Stegostoma tigrinum: one gene and its partner. The protein of the gene in region 1 purifies or fractionates together with the protein of each later gene. This does not show direct contact. Links are inferred from orthologs where the notes say so. Each region holds a gene or a part of one and is shown on either strand. Other genes may lie near its edges.

Region 1 (7,434 bases):
ACATCCCTCACACCCCGCCCCCGCCACAACCGCCCAAAGAGGATCCCCCTCGTTCTCACACACCACGCCACCAACCTCCGGATACAACGCATCATCCTCCGACACTTCCGCCATCTACAATCCGACCCCACCACCCAAGACATTTTTCCATCCCCACCCCTGTCTGCTTTCCGGAGAGACCACTCTCTCCGTGACTCCCTTGTTCGCTCCACACTGCCCTCCAACCCCACCACACCCGGCACCTTCCCCTGCAACCGCAGGAAATGCTACACTTGCCCCCACACCTCCTCCCTCACCCCTATCCCAGGCCCCAAGATGACATTCCACATTAAGCAGAGGTTCAACTGCACATCTGCCAATGTGGTATACTGTATCCACTGTACCCGGTGTGGCTTCCTCTACATTGGGGAAACCAAGCGGAGGCTTGGAGACCGCTTTGCAGAACACCTCCGCTCAGTTCGCAACAAACAACTGCACCTCCCAGTCGCAAACCATTTCCACTCCCCCTCCCATTCTTTAGATGACATGTCCATCATGGGCCTCCTGCAGTGCCACAATGATGCCACCCGAAGGTTGCAGGAACAGCAACTCATATTCCGCCTGGGAACCCTGCAGCCTAATGGTATCAATGTGGACTTCACCAGTTTCAAAATCTCCCCTTCTCCAACTGCATCCCTAAACCAGCCCAATTCGTCCCCTCCCCCACTGCACCACACAACCAGCCCAGCTCTTCCCCTCCACCCACTGCATCCCAAAACCAGTCCAACCTGTCTCCGCCTCCCTAACCTGTTCTTCCTCTCACCCATCCCTTCCTCCCACCCCAAGCCGCACCCCCATCTACCTACTAACCTCATCCCACCTCCTTGACCTTTCCGTCTTCCCTGGACTGACCTTTCCCCTCCCTACCTCCCCACCTATACTCTCTCCACCTATCTTCTTTTCTCTCCATCTTCGGTCCGCCTCCCCCTCTCTCCCTATTTATTCCAGAACCCTCACCCCATCCCCCTCTCTGATGAAGGGTCTAGGCCCGAAACGTCAGCTTTTGTGCTCCTGAGATGCTGCTTGGCCTGCTGTGTTCATCCAGCCTCACATTTTATTATCTTGGATTCTCCAGCATCTGCAGTTCCTATTATCTCTCCCTCCTGTTCCTGTTATCTCGCCATACCTTTGATCCCTTTAGCCCCGGGTAATAGATCTGACTCCTTGAAAACATTAAATGCTTTGGCTTCAAACATTTCTTGTGGTAGTGAATTCCACAGGTTCATCACTCTCTTGAAGAAATTTCTCCTTAGCTCAGTCCCAAATGGCCTACCCCATATCCTTAGATTGTGACCCTTGGGTATGGACTCCCTGTCATCGAGAACATCTTTCCTGTGTTCACCCTGTTAGAATTTTATAGGTTCCTATGAGATTCCCCCTCACTTTTCTAGTGAATGTAGTCAAAACCGATCCAGTTCCTCTTCATATATCAGTCCTACCATTTCCAGGAATCAATTTAGTAAACCTTCCTTGCACTCCCTGTATAGACAGAACCATCCTTCTTGAGCAAAGGAGACCAAACCTGCACACAGTATTCCATGTGTGGTCTCACCAAAGCCTAGTACATTTGCAGCAAAACATGGTCATTCCTGTCCTGGAATCCTTTCTCTGTGAAGGCCTACATACCATTTACCGCCTGCTGTACCTGCATGCTTACTTTTATTGAATGGTGGACAAGGATACCCAGGTTTGCTGTGATGCCCTATTTCCTACCTGTCACCATTTGGATAATAGTTGAACCAGTGGATTGGCTAAAACAATGATAGAACAAGGAATTCAATTTGTGGTACTACAAGATGATCAGATGGGATGTTGCAGGAAGTAAGCTTTGTTGGCTATATTCTTTTAATCCTCTTCAAACACAGGAGCAGTACCAGAGTGCAGGAGAATTGTGACGAAGGGTACAAAGATAAGCCAAAAAACTTCAAGCCACTTGGTTTAACTTTGTTTTTTGAAACCAAAATCAGGGTAAGTTAAGTTGTACAAGTGCGAATTAATGAACGAAGACCAGTACTGATTGTTAAAGGCAACTTGTGTTTAAGTATCTTGCTTGAATATTGCTGAAGAGAGAGCCAAGCTGTTGAAAATTATTTTTGTATCAGGGATAATGGGAACTGCAGATGCTGGAGAATCTGAGATAACAAAGTGTGGAGCTGGATGAACACAGCAGGCCCAGCAGTGGGTGGAGGGGACGAACTGGGCTGGTTTAGGGATGCGGTGGGGGAAGGGGAGATTTTGAAACTGGTGAACTCCACATTGATACCATTGGGCTGCAGGGTTCCCAAGCGGAATATGAGTTGCTGTTCCTGCAACCTTCGGGTGGCATCATTGTGGCAGTGCAGGAGGCGCACACACACACACACACACACACACACACACACACACACACACACACACACATCAGAAAAAGGAGCTTATTTTTATCTTGCAACCGCAGGACAAACACAAGACTGCCAAAATTCTTCATTGTATTTCCAGTACCTTCTCCATGGCAACACCATCAGCACTGTATTGTCCTGTAATATAAGTTGTTGTGACTTTTTGAAATGTGGCATTCTTGAATTTATTCTGATACAATATATATGAAATATATATTATCTTTTCATGTAAGATGAAGGTGTTGTCGTTTGTCACGAACAGAGTGCAGGTGCAGACTCTGAGCCTCCACCTGGTCTCACCAATGCAGAGGAGGCGACAAACAACACCTTCCAGACGCAAACAACTTCAACTCCCCCTCCCACTCCCTGGGTGACGTCCATTCTGGACCTGCTCCACTGTCACAACAACGCCACCCAGAAACTGGAGGAGCAGCACGTCATATTCTGCCTGGGGACCCTACAATCCAATGGTCTCAATGTGGACTTCACTAATTTCAAAATCTCCCCACCCCTGGCCTCATCCCACGATCAACCCTCCCTGTCATCCTGCCTCCTTGACCTGTCTGTCTTCTCTCCCACTGATCCACTCTGTCTACCTCACTGATCAATCCCCACCACTGCCTGCCTGCACTCACCTATCACCATCCACCTACCTTCCCCATCCCAACCCCTCCTCTATTTATTTCAGAACTCCCTTCCCTCTCCCCCATTTCTGAAGAAGGGTCTTGACTGGAAGCTTTAGTGTTTCTGCTTGTTTGATGCTGCCTGGCCTGCTGTGTTTCTCCAACTCCACAGTTTTTTTAGGTGTGAGGCCTTGTCAAACTGGCTCTATGTCTGAAATAGGAATTTATAAAATGCCACATTGTCTATAAATTGTGTGCTTTTTGACAAAATAGAACGCATCTGCAAATACAAATTCACCCCACAGATTCACATGTGTATTAGAGAGGGATTCTTTGATGTTTCACTTCCAAATTCTGTGTCTTATACTATCTGTCTCACGAACACCTGAAGGAGGAGTGAGGCTCTGAAAGCTTGTTTCTGAATAATCCTGTTGAACAATAACCTGGTGAAGCGTGATTTCTGACATTGATGAGGTGACCCCTATGGTTGTCATAGAATCCCTCGTGTGGAACCAGGCCCTTCGGCCCAATAAGTCCACACCGACCTATGAACCACACCAACCGAATCACCACACCCCTGAACACTATGGGCAGTTTAGCATAGACAAGATAATAAAGTGTGAAGCTGGATGAACACAGCATAGACACTTAGCATAGCCAATCCAACTAACTTGCACATCTCTGTACTGTAGGAGGAATCCAGAGCACCCAGGGGTGCAATTCAACCCGGGTTCCTGGCGCTGTGAAACAACCACTGAGCCACCGTGCTGTTACAGCAATTTCTGTTTTTGTGTCAGTTATTTCCTTTTATTTAAATCGCTGAGAAGTGTTTTATGTTACGGTAAAAACAAATGGTCATTCCCGCTGAGGATTATCCGATTCACCGAGACCACTGCCTCTGCAAACGCCCTGGACATCGCACCAGCTCCACGTGGCGCATTTGGCGGATTGTATGCAAATCGAGGGACTGGAGGTGGGACGACGCCATGGCAGACGAACCAATCACCATCTCGGAGTCCCACGTGGGTCATCACCCCGGATGGTCAGTTCCCGCAGCTGGAACCAATAGGCGGCCTGCATGCAAATAAGTCCTTGCTGTGCCTGTACAATCAGCTCGGAGCTCGAGCTGACCTGTGCACCAATAGGTGTGGAAAGGCCGCGGTCGACCAATCGCGGCTGGCCCAGAAACCATAGTAACGGCGAATCCAAACAGACAACAAGAGGCCGAACGGGACGGAGGGGGGGTTGTCATAGCAACGGGCCTTAGTAACCGGGGCTGCAGCGGCGGTCGGCTCCGCTACGCTAAATACAAGGAGCGGGCCCGCAACCCAGACCGATCCCCGGTTCCGATCAGAGGTTCCTGGGATAGTCCCCTCTTTCCCCTCCCCATCCCCCTCCTTGGTTGTTGAGAAAGGTTGGAGCCGGCGGGGTAGCAGCGCCTGCGCGGCCGGAGCTTTCCGCTTTTCCCTCTCACACCCCCCCCCGGAACCTTTGTCGGGAGGCGGCGGGTTGCACCCGGACGTTGCTAGGGCCCCGGGTCCGGCGGCGCTCAGAGATGTTCAAGAACACGTTCCAGAGCGGATTCCTCTCGATCCTCTACAGTATCGGCAGTAAACCCCTGCAGATCTGGGACAAGAAGGTGAGGAAGGACCTTAACCTCATGCCTTTACCGGGAGCGGGTGACGGAGACTAGGCCTCAGGCTTCGGGCCGCGCAGTAACCCCCCACCCCAACCCCCTCACAGACTTGACCCTTTCTGCTCAAATCGGGGCTGGAAACAGAGAAGATGGGAGCAGGAGGGCGAGGCCATTGGGCCCTTCGAGCCTAACCCGCCACTCTCCACGATCATGGCGTGGATGGATGTCCCAGCAACAACAAACCGACAGAAACATCAATCCCCGAGGAGCAAGATATCATGTTCCCGCAACCTCCAGGACTCTACCTGGAGTTTAACCATGTCAGAGTGTGAACACCCTCATTCTTTCCCAGTCCCTTATGCACTCCACAGCCCAGGTCTTCTGATGAAGGGTCTAGGCCCGAAACATCAGCCTCCCTGCTCCTCTGATGCTGCCTGGCCTGCTGTGTTCATCCAGCTCCACACCTTGTTATCTCTGCCATACAATGGGCAGCTTTCAGCTCAGCCAACCCACTCAGAGTCTCCATTCTCACCCATCTCCCCTCTTTCTTTCCCTAGCTTGCCATCAACAATCCCTTTGCTCCTCTGTCCTTTTCTCTCTGACCTCCTCCACCTGTTTGCCCTCTCCTTGCCTCCCCCACCATGTCATCAACACTTTTTCGAGCTGCTGCGAGTTCTGAAGAAGGGTCACCAGACTTGAAATATTAGCTCTGTTTCTTGTCCTCACGTATCCACAAGACCTGCTGCGTTTCTCCAGCAATTTCTGCTTTTGTTTGTTGTGGGTCTGCAGAATCTGCAGTTCTTTGTCCCACCAGCTGACTCTGCTATTCGATCAGATTAATCTGATCTGATAGTAATCTCAAAATCCACATTCCCAGTTGCCCTCAATAACCTTTCACCACCCTTTATCTACCTCTAACTTAAAAATTGTCCAAAAACTCTGTGTCCGCCACCTTTTTCAGGAAGAGTGCCAAAGATTGAGGGATAGGTGGGAAATAATGTACTTGATTCTGTCTCAATTTCAGGCAAGCCCTGATTTTTAAACTGTTCTAGATTTTTCCACAAGAAGAAACCTGCCTTATTCAGTTTGGGCAGAAGAGTTTAGAGAGCTGATGGTACAGTAGAATCAGTGCTGTCAGCATATGTGCGGAACTAATACTGTGGCTTCAGGCAAGGGGATGTTATTAAGCTGGAGAGGGCTCAGAAGAGATTTACCAGGATGTTGCTAGGTATGGAAGGTTTGTGTTATAAGGAAGAGCTGGATTGGCTGGGATTTTTTTCACTGGAGTGTAGGAGGTTGAGAGGTGACCTGATAGAAGGTTATAAAATAATGAGAGATGTACAAAGAGTTGATGGTCATTGTCTTTTTCCTAAGATGGGGAATTTCAAGACCGGGGGCACATTTTTAAGGTGAAAGGAGAGAGATTTTAAAAAAAGACATAAGGCAAATTTCTTACACGGAGGGTGGTTCGCGTGTGGAACCTTGAGGAAGTGATGCGCGTGAACGCCTTGAGGAAGTGGTGGATGTGTGTACAATTACAACGTTTAAAAGACATTTGGATAAATACATGAATAGGAAAGGTTTGGAGAGATATGGGCCAGGACCAGGTAGGTGGGACTAATTTAGTTTGGAATTATGCTTGGCTTGGGCTGGTTGGACTGAAGGGTCTATTTCTGTGTTCCATAACTCTATATTAAGCCAGGACCTTCAGCTGATGTTCTGAGGTCTTGGGTTTGAATCCATTCATGGAAAATTGTGAAATTTGAATGTACTAAAGATCTGGAATTAAAAGTCAGTCTGAAAGTCACTTGTCAAATATTGTAAAAACCCATCTGGTTCATCAATGTCCTTTAGGGATAGAAATCTGCTGCTTTTACCTGGTCTGACCTACATGTGTCTTCAGGCCCTCATCAATGTGAGTGACTCTTTGGAAATAGCTTAGAGTCCTTATCAGTTCAAAGGCAACAAGGTTAAAGACAAAAGAAGAACTGCAGATGTTGGAATCTGAGGTAGACAAACAGGAGGCTGGAAGAACACAGCAAGCCAGGCAACATCTGGAATAAAGGAGCAATCGATGTTTTGGTTATTACCCTTCTTCAGGACTCAACAAGGACAACTAGCATAGAACATAGAAAAGTACAGCACAGTACAGGCCCTTCAGCCCACGATGTTGTGCTGTGGAATAATCCTAATCCAAAAATAAAATAACCTAACCTACATTCCCCTCAATTCACTGCTGTCCATGTGCATGTCCAGCAGTCACTTAAATGTCACTAATGACTCTGCTTCCACGACTACCACTGGTAAACTATTCCATGCACTCTCAACTCTCTGGGTGAAGAACCTCCCTCTGACGTCTCCTCTATACCTTCCTCCTAACACCTTAAAACTATGAGCCCTCGTGTCAGTCAATCCTGCCCTGGGGAAAAGTCTCTGGCTATCGACTCTATCCGTGCCTCTCATTACCTTGTACACCTTGCGTTGGGCAACAAGATTCCTGTCTTCTCAGTGATAGCCAAGAAATAAAACTAATTTAAAAATATAATGTAATGGAGATGAGAAATGCAGGGGGGCATGCAAGGAAAGATACTAGGGGGTAACAAGATAAAAACAGAAATAGCAGGAAAATCTCAGCAGGTCTGGTGGTATTTGTGGAGACAAATCAGATTTAACATTTCCGGTCCATTGACTCTTCTTCAGAACCAGGGTAATAAGGCAGGTCAGGAAGAGAAACTATTGCAAGTGATTATAAGGTCAT
Region 2 (8,249 bases), on another chromosome or scaffold:
ATCAATTCATCAAAGGAAACAAAACAAGGAACTGTGGATGCTGAAGGTCGGGGGGGGGGGGTGGTGGAACTGGAGAAGCTCACCAGGTCTGGGAGCATCTGTGCAAAATAAGCATAGTTGGCTTTTCGATTCTGGTAACTCTTCATCTGGTGAGTATTCTGATGAAGTCAGCAGACTCAAAACGTTGACTCTGATTTCTTCCCACAGGCATCCACAAATACTGAGTTTCTCCAGCAGTTTTTGTTTTTAGTTCACCAAAGGATTTGACTGCATGGTTGCTGGTAAGACTAAACTCTTTACGATGCTGAAAGTAAGTAGCCAGGGGAATGACGTTTTGTCAATGATCCCGTCGTATCCCGTTTGCTTGAAAAAACTATCTAAATCTCTTGGCATACTGGGGCTAATCCTCCACACCATCACCATAATGTCCAATTTACCAAACAACTGCATTTCTGGGTTCATTGAAAGGCAAGGCTGTCTGAAACTTTCCTTTCAGTGCCAACGTAAAATCTCGAGAAGCCTGACTGGAAAGGAGCACCGTTTATAGTTGAACACCAAAATAGAGCCATTACTCATGGTGTATATAGACTAGTCCAAGACTAGGAAAAACCATTCTGCAGACCCATCTCTGGATCTCAGATTCCCTGCAGACCTTTAAAGGAGTCATCAAAAAAGGAAAGTTAGGCGGTTCTGAGACTGAAACCACCATGAGATTTGTGGTTTATTTTTTAATCGCACAGTTTAACCAGAGTGTGTGATTCTTTGATATACTGTTAATGAGACCCAAGGGATATGCTGTTGTAATGCATGCATTGTTCAGATTGGTTGAGAATGTTCAGTTGAACACCAAGTGTTTCTAACCTGTTACTTTTTTCACACTAATTGTTCATTGATCATTGAAAATTAAAATTAGTTAGATTCCAAGTTAAAAGTTTCCAATTAAATGGTTTTCACGCAGGAATTCTTTGTTTACAAGCAATAGACTGTTACACAGAGTGAAAACCTTCACACAAATGTTTTGCTTGAAAAGAGAGGAGAAGGGGTTCAGATGTAAGGGAAGACCCAACCAGCCATATAAAGGCAGGTATTGAATATATCATTTAGAGGCTGGACTCTGTGCCGTACAGGCTGTTCCCTGAGATGCACACCAAGAATCAACTGCAACTGGAGAACCATGAACTCAGTGAAACATGCTCATTGCTCTACCCCAAAACTTGGTCTTCTAATGCAAAGAGTTGACTTCAACCAAGTGTTGCAGACAGGCACATTCCAAGGTTCAGGACTACATACCGAGGATTAAGAATTAGAATTAGATTTATTGTCACATGTACTTAAGTACAAAGTGCAGGAGTACAATGAGAAGTGTACAATCTCATCACACAAGGTGCCATTTTAGGTGCAATGTACCTAGGTACAAAAATAGAGAAATACAGATGAAAGCTAAAAGTTGTACATTACAGTTTTTCATAGTAATAAATTAGGAATGTAAAGAAATAAAGTTAAATGTTACAGTCCTTCTGTAGCCTACAGTCTCTCCACATTGTGGGCTTTCCACATGTGGTCTCACGCTCCCTGCACTACCAAAATTGAGGTCTGTGACAGGTTGACTGCACTGGGCCCCAGTCTGCCAGCCAACCCCTCTGGGTTCCCAGCCTGCTGGCAGCTTCTCTCTGGCCCGTCAATCATTGGCCTTTCTGCCCTACCCCAGCCTGTCAACTGCTGGCTACCCTGCTTCACACCAGGCCCTCAGCTGCAGCAGCACCACCGCGGGCTTCGTGAGACAAGGTAGGTTAAAAATAACCAAAAAAATGTGTTTTAAAAAGAGGAGTGGACGGAGAGGACGAGCCCCTGGTTGAGCCCAGACATTGCCTGTGCTGCTGTTGCCATCTTAAAAATAAAATAAACTTGGAGCAGCTGCTGCCAAGGTACAGTGGAGAAAAACAACTGTCTTTGGTTCTTCTCATTTGAAAAGATAGTTATGAAATCAAAGTGGCTAGAAGATGCTAGGTTCTCTATGCTCTAATAGGTACAGCTATGAACTACACATCTGTTTGCTAGAAGAGCAGTCTGCAGATTGATGTTAAATAGCAACACTAGCTTGTCCCTGAAGCTTATTAATTCAAATTTAGGACTGTAAGAATGAAACCTAATCAAATATCTATAGAATGTGTGACAGAAGAGGAAAAAGAAAGTGTTAAATTTAAATCTGAGACAGATCATACCTTTGCTTAACAAACAAATTAAGAAATATGGGCCAAAGGCAGGTGCATGCAATTAGGCCGTGGATCAACTGTGATCCCAATGAATGGCAGATCAGGCCTAAGGGGCGAAATGGCCTCCTCCTGTTCCTATATTCTTATATAAATGTAATGGATTCAATATTTAAGCACTGATATTGGAGAAAGGATTTGAGAATATGAGGGAAATCACGGTTAAGGAAAGCTTGCAAAATAGTATTCCAGTTTTGAGATAATAAAATGTGAGGCTGGATGAACACAGCAGGCCAAGCAGCATCTCAGGAGCACAAAAGCTGACGTTTCGGGCCTAGACCCTTCATCAGAGAGGGGGATGGGGAGAGGGAACTGGAATAAATAGGGAGAGGGGGAGGCGGACCGAAGATGGAGAGTAAAGAAGATAGGTAGAGAGAGTGTAGGTGGGAAGGTAGGGAGGGGATAGGTCAGTCCAGGGAAGACGGACAGGTCAAGGAGGTGGGATGAGGTTAGTAGGTAGCTGGGGGTGCGGCTTGGGGTGGGAGGAAGGGATGGGTGAGAGGAAGAACCGGTTAGGGAGGCAGAGACAGGTTGGACTGGTTTTGGGATGCAGTGGGTTGGGGGGGAAGAGCTGGGCTGGTTGTGTGGTGCAGTGGGGGGAGGGGACGAACTGGGCTGGTTTAGGGATGCAGTAGGGGAAGGGGAGATTTTGAAACTGGTGAAGTCCACATTGATACCATATGGCTGCAGGGTTCCCAGGTGGAATATGAGTTGCTGTTCCTGCAACCTTCGGGTGGCATCATTGTGGCAGTGCAGGAGGCCCATGATGGACATGTCATCTACAGAATGGGAGGGGGAGTGGAAATGGTTTGCGACTGAGAGGTGCAGTTGTTTGTTGCAAACTGAGCGGAGGTGTTCTGCAAAGCGGTCCCCAAGCCTCCGCTTGGTTTCCCCAATGTCGAGGCTTGGGGACCGCTTTGCAGAACACCTCCGCTCAGTTCGCAACAAACAACTGCACCTCCCAGTCGCAAACCATTTCCACTCCCCCTCCCATTCTCTAGATGACATGTCCAAAATGGGCCTCCTGCACTGCCACAATGATGCCACCCAAAGGTTGCAGGAACAGCAACTCATATTCCGCCTGGGAACCCTGCAGCCATATGGTATCAATGTGGACTTCACCAGTTTCAAAATCTCCCCTTCCCCCACCGCATCCCAAAACCAGCCCAGTTCGTCCCCTCCCCCCACTGCACCACACAACCAGCCCAGCTCTTCCCCCCCCACCCACTGCATCCCAAAACCAGTCCAACCTGTCTCTGCCTCCCTAACTGGTTCTTCCTCTCACCCATCCCTTCCTCCCACCCCAAGCCGCACCCCCAGCTACCTACTAACCTCATCCCACCTCCTTGACCTGTCCGTCTTCCCTGGACTGACCTATCCCCTCCCTACCTCCCCACCTACACTCTCTCCACCTATCTTCTTTACTCTCCATCTTCGGTCCGCCTCCCCCTCTCTCCCTACTTATTCCAGTTCCCTCTCCCCATCCCCCTCTCTGATGAAGGGTCTAGGCCCGAAACGTCAGCTTTTGTGCTCCTGAGATGCTGCTTGGCCTGCTGTGTTCACCCAGCCTCACATTTTATTATCTTGGAATTCTCCAGCATCTGCAGTTCCCATTATCTCTGATAGTATTCCAGTTTTGACTTAGTTAGAACTTCATATGATCTAGTATTGAGGACAGTGGCTCAGTGGTTAACCTGCTGCCTCACAGCACTCGGGTCACAGATTCAATTCGACCCTCAGGCAACTGTCTGTTTGGAGTTTGCACATTCTTCCCGTATCTACATGGGTTTCCTCCGGGTGCTGCGGTTTCCTCCCATAATCCAAAGATGTGTGGGTTAGGTTGGGAAATTACTGATAGTGTCCAGAGATGTGCAGGCCAGGTGGATTAGCCCTGGGTAATGCACAGTTATAGGGAAGGGGAGTGGGATGCTCCTCAGGGTGTCAGTGAGGACTTGATGTGCCAAATGGCTGCTTCAACACTGTAGGAATTCTATCATGAAGTAATGTGGCATCAAGCCCATCATTTTAAGTCCACCACTACCCATCTTTACATTGGTTCCACTTGTCTTCATCAGGATGATCATCCTAGCAGCTCAGGCCTGGTTTAGCAAGCAGCACCCCCTCGTCTAGATATGTGGCAAGAAAACTCAAGCAGCGCAACAAAATTCAGATCAAAGCAGTCCCAGGCCAGCACCCACCACATCACACCTTCAACATCCACTCCATCCAACACTGAAGCTCAGTAGCAGCAGTGTACCGTCGACAAGATGCACAACAGCACCTTCCAAATCCGTGATCTCTACCATTTAGAAAGACAAGGGGCAGTAGAAATATGGAAACATTACTGCCCTGCAGGTTCCCCTCCAAACCACATACTTGGAAATATGTCAGCATTCCTTTGGTGTTGCTGGATCAAAGTCTTTGAATTTCCTCCCCAATAACATTGAGGTTACCTACACAACACGAATTGCACTGCGATCTTCTCAAGGGGCAGCTAGAATGGACAATAAATAATGAGACAACCGGCAATGCCCACATTACATTAATGAATTAAAAGAAGAAAATCTTAGTGTAAGTTATTTTCTGGGATATCAATATCGCAATTTATACTTTATCTCTGTTTCCCTCCGTTCCTGTGAATTAATAAAAAATAATGTGGATATTAGTTTGTGATGCTGGTACGACTGAAACCGAAACAAAATAAATGATTGAAAACAGCTCCAAATGTATGTAATAGACATTCCGCGGAACTGATAGTGGAGCTGAACTGCCGGAGAAGGTCTTTTCCTGGAGTACCTGGAGCGGGGCGGAAGTGGCCGGGAGGGAGCACATGGTAGCGGACAGTGCGGGGCAGAAGTTGTGTGCGCGGTCAGGCACAAGGTGGGGGGCGGAGAGGGAAAAGATGGCGGAGAGTGGGTAGAGCTTTACACCAGGTAAACGCTGGGTGTGGTGGAGGGGGTCAGAAAGGGAAACTGGAAGGAAAGACACCTCACTTACAAAGGTGAGAGGAACTCGGAAAGTAAGGTCTGAGGCTGCCGGGGAATTGCGAAAGGATCGGTTGTGTCGGAGAAAAGTGTACGGGGGAGGGGCGCTGCTGAAGGCGGGGTGAGAAAAGAATAGGATGGGGGTGTAAATTAAGGGGGCGAACAGAGTTTAGGGGAGTAAACTGGGAGGGTGTGACGGGGCTAGGGCTGTAAATGGGGAAGGCGGGTGTTAGGAGTATGCATTGGGGGAGCGGGGGTCGGGGGTACGCACTGAGGGGGGAGGGGGGGAGCGGGGGTACGCACTGAGGGGGGAGGGGGGGAGCGGGGGTACGCACTGAGGGGGGAGGGGGGGAGCGGGGGTACGCACTGAGGGGGGAGCGGGGGTACGCACTGAGGGGGGAGCGGGGGTACGCACTGAGGGGGGAGGGGGGAGCGGGGGTACACACTGAGGGGGGAGGGGGGGAGCGGGGGTACGCACTGAGGGGGGAGGGGGGGAGCGGGGGTACGCACTGAGGGGGGAGGGGGGAGCGGGGGTACGCACTGAGGGGGGAGCGGGGGTACGCACTGAGGGGGGAGGGGGGGAGCGGGGGTACGCACTGAGGGGGGAGCGGGGGTACGCACTGAGTCGGGGGTCGGGGGTACGCACTGAGGGGGGAGCGGGGGTCGGGGGTACGCACTGAGGGGGGGAGCGGGGGTACGCACTGAGGGGGGAGGGGGGGAGCGGGGGTACGCACTGAGGGGGAGGGGGGGGAGCGGGGGTACGCACTGAGGGGGGGAGCGGGGGTACGCACTGAGGGGGGGAGCGGGGGTACGCACTGAGGGGGGAGCGGGGGTACGCACTGAGGGGGAGGGGGGGAACGGGGGTACGCACTGAGGGGGGAGCGGGGGTACGCACTGAGGGGGGGAGCGGGGGTACGCACTGAGGGGGGAGCGGGGGTACGCACTGAGGGGGGGAGCGGGGGTACGCACTGAGGGGGGAGCGGGGGTACGCACTGAGGGGGGAGCGGGGGTACGCACTGAGGGGGGAGGGGGGGAGCGGGGGTACGCACTGAGGGGGGAGGGGGGAGCGGGGGTACGCACTGAAGGGGGAGGGGGGGAGCGGGGGTACGCACTGAGGGGGGAGCGGGGGTACGCACTGAGTCGGGGGTCGGGGGTACGCACTGAGGGGGGAGCGGGGGTCGGGGGTACGCACTGAGGGGGGGAGCGGGGGTACGCACTGAGGGGGGAGGGGGGGAGCGGGGGTACGCACTGAGGGGGAGGGGGGGGAGCGGGGGTACGCACTGAGGGGGGGAGCGGGGGTACGCACTGAGGGGGGGAGCGGGGGTACGCACTGAGGGGGGAGCGGGGGTACGCACTGAGGGGGAGGGGGGGAACGGGGGTACGCACTGAGGGGGGAGCGGGGGAGCGGGGGTACGCACTGAGGGGGGGAGCGGGGGTACGCACTGAGGGGGGAGCGGGGGTACGCACTGAGGGGGGAGCGGGGGTACGCACTGAGGGGGGAGGGGGGGAGCGGGGGTACGCACTGAGGGGGGAGGGGGGGAGCGGGGGTACGCACTGAGGGGGGAGGGGGGAGCGGGGGTACGCACTGAAGGGGGAGGGGGGGAGCGGGGGTACGCACTGAGTCGGGGGTCGGGTGTACGCACTGAGGGGGGAGCGGGGGTCGGGGGTACGCACTGAGTCGGGGGTCGGGGGTACGCACTGAGGGGGGAGCGGGGGTCGGGGGTACGCACTGAGTCGGGGGTCGGGGGTACGCACTGAGGGGGGAGCGGGGGTCGGGGGTACGCACTGAGGGGGGAGCGGGGGTACGCACTGAGGGGGGAGGGGGGGAGCGGGGGTACGCACTGAGGGGGGAGGGGGGGGAGCGGGGGTACGCACTGAGGGGGGAGCGGGGGTACGCACTGAGGGGGGGAGCGGGGGTACGCACTGAGGGGGGAGGGGGGAGCGGGGGTACGCACTGAGGGGGGGGGGAGCGGGGGTACGCACTGAGGCGGGAGGGGGGGAGCGGGGGTACGCACTGAGGGGGGAGGGGGGGGAGCGGGGGTACGCACTGAGGGGGGGGGGAGCGGGGGTACGCACTGAGGGGGGAGGGGGGGGAGCGGGGGTACGCACTGAGGGGGGAGGGGGGGAGCGGGGGTACGCACTGAGGGGGGAGGGGGGGGAGCGGGGGAACGCACTGAGTTGGGGGGAGCGGGGGTACGCACTGAGGGGGGAGGGGGGGTCGGGGGTACGCACTGAGGGGGGAGCGGGGGTACGCACTGAGCGGGGAGTTGGGCTCGGGTACGCACTGAGGGGGGGAGCAGGCGTCGGTGGTATGCACTGAGTGAGGGAGCGGGGGTCGGGGGTACGCACTGAGGGGGGAGTTGGGCTCGGGTACGCACTGAGGGGGGGAGCGGGGGTTGGGGGTCGGTGGTACGCACTGAGTGAGGGAGCGGGGGTCGGGGGTACGCACTGAGGAGGGGGGGAGCGGGGGTCTGGGGTATGCACTGAGGCGGGAAGCGGGGGCCGGGGGTATGAATTAGGAGGGGAAGGAGGGTTGGGGGTGATTAGGGGTGTAAATTGGGTGGGTCAGGGGAAGGAGTGTATAAATTGGGAGGGTTGAGCCTAAATTTGGATGTGGTGCTTAAGTTGGGAGGAGGGAGTATATGAGGGAGCAACGGGTGCAGATGAAGGTCAGAATGGGAAAGGATGGAGGATGAGATATGTGGGGGGTAACAAGTTGAAGATGAATGAGGAGGTGGAGGGTATGAGGTTGCTGGGTAGTGATGGGTAAGTGGAGAGGTGTTATGAGTGATGTGTGGAAAGAGTAGGGGAGGGAAAGATGAGGGAGGAGATCAAGGCGAATGTTGAAGTGAGTTGAAGGTGAACGGGAGGGGTGAGGGGTTACGGAAGGAGTGTTGAAAGTGAGAGGGTTGGGATGAGATGAGGGGGGCAAGAGGTAGGGGGAGGGGGTCAGGAGGAATGTAGTTGAGGGTAGGAAGAGTGGGTGGAGAGATGT

The links.
Region 2: the proteins of cfap20 (region 1) and clasrp purify together in Homo sapiens (affinity purification with mass spectrometry; 3 studies listed by BioGRID and IntAct, counting the BioPlex papers as one, with this or other methods). This does not show direct contact. The link is inferred for Stegostoma tigrinum from reciprocal best matches to the Homo sapiens genes CFAP20 and CLASRP.

What each region holds. Positions count from the first base shown.
Region 1 is NC_081355.1:158,596,882-158,604,315, reverse strand, and holds the start of cfap20 (cilia- and flagella-associated protein 20), read left to right. Parts: upstream 1-4,268; 5' UTR 4,269-4,595; coding exon 4,596-4,679; intron 4,680-6,197; exon of another isoform or gene 6,198-6,268; coding exon of another isoform or gene 6,269-6,283; intron 6,284-7,434. UniProt on the Homo sapiens protein: Cilium- and flagellum-specific protein that plays a role in axonemal structure organization and motility. Microtubule inner protein (MIP) part of the dynein-decorated doublet microtubules (DMTs) in cilia axoneme, which is required for motile cilia beating.
Region 2 is NC_081392.1:14,388,399-14,396,647, forward strand, and holds the start of clasrp (CLK4-associating serine/arginine rich protein), read left to right. Parts: upstream 1-5,149; 5' UTR 5,150-5,271; intron 5,272-8,249. UniProt on the Homo sapiens protein: Probably functions as an alternative splicing regulator. May regulate the mRNA splicing of genes such as CLK1. May act by regulating members of the CLK kinase family.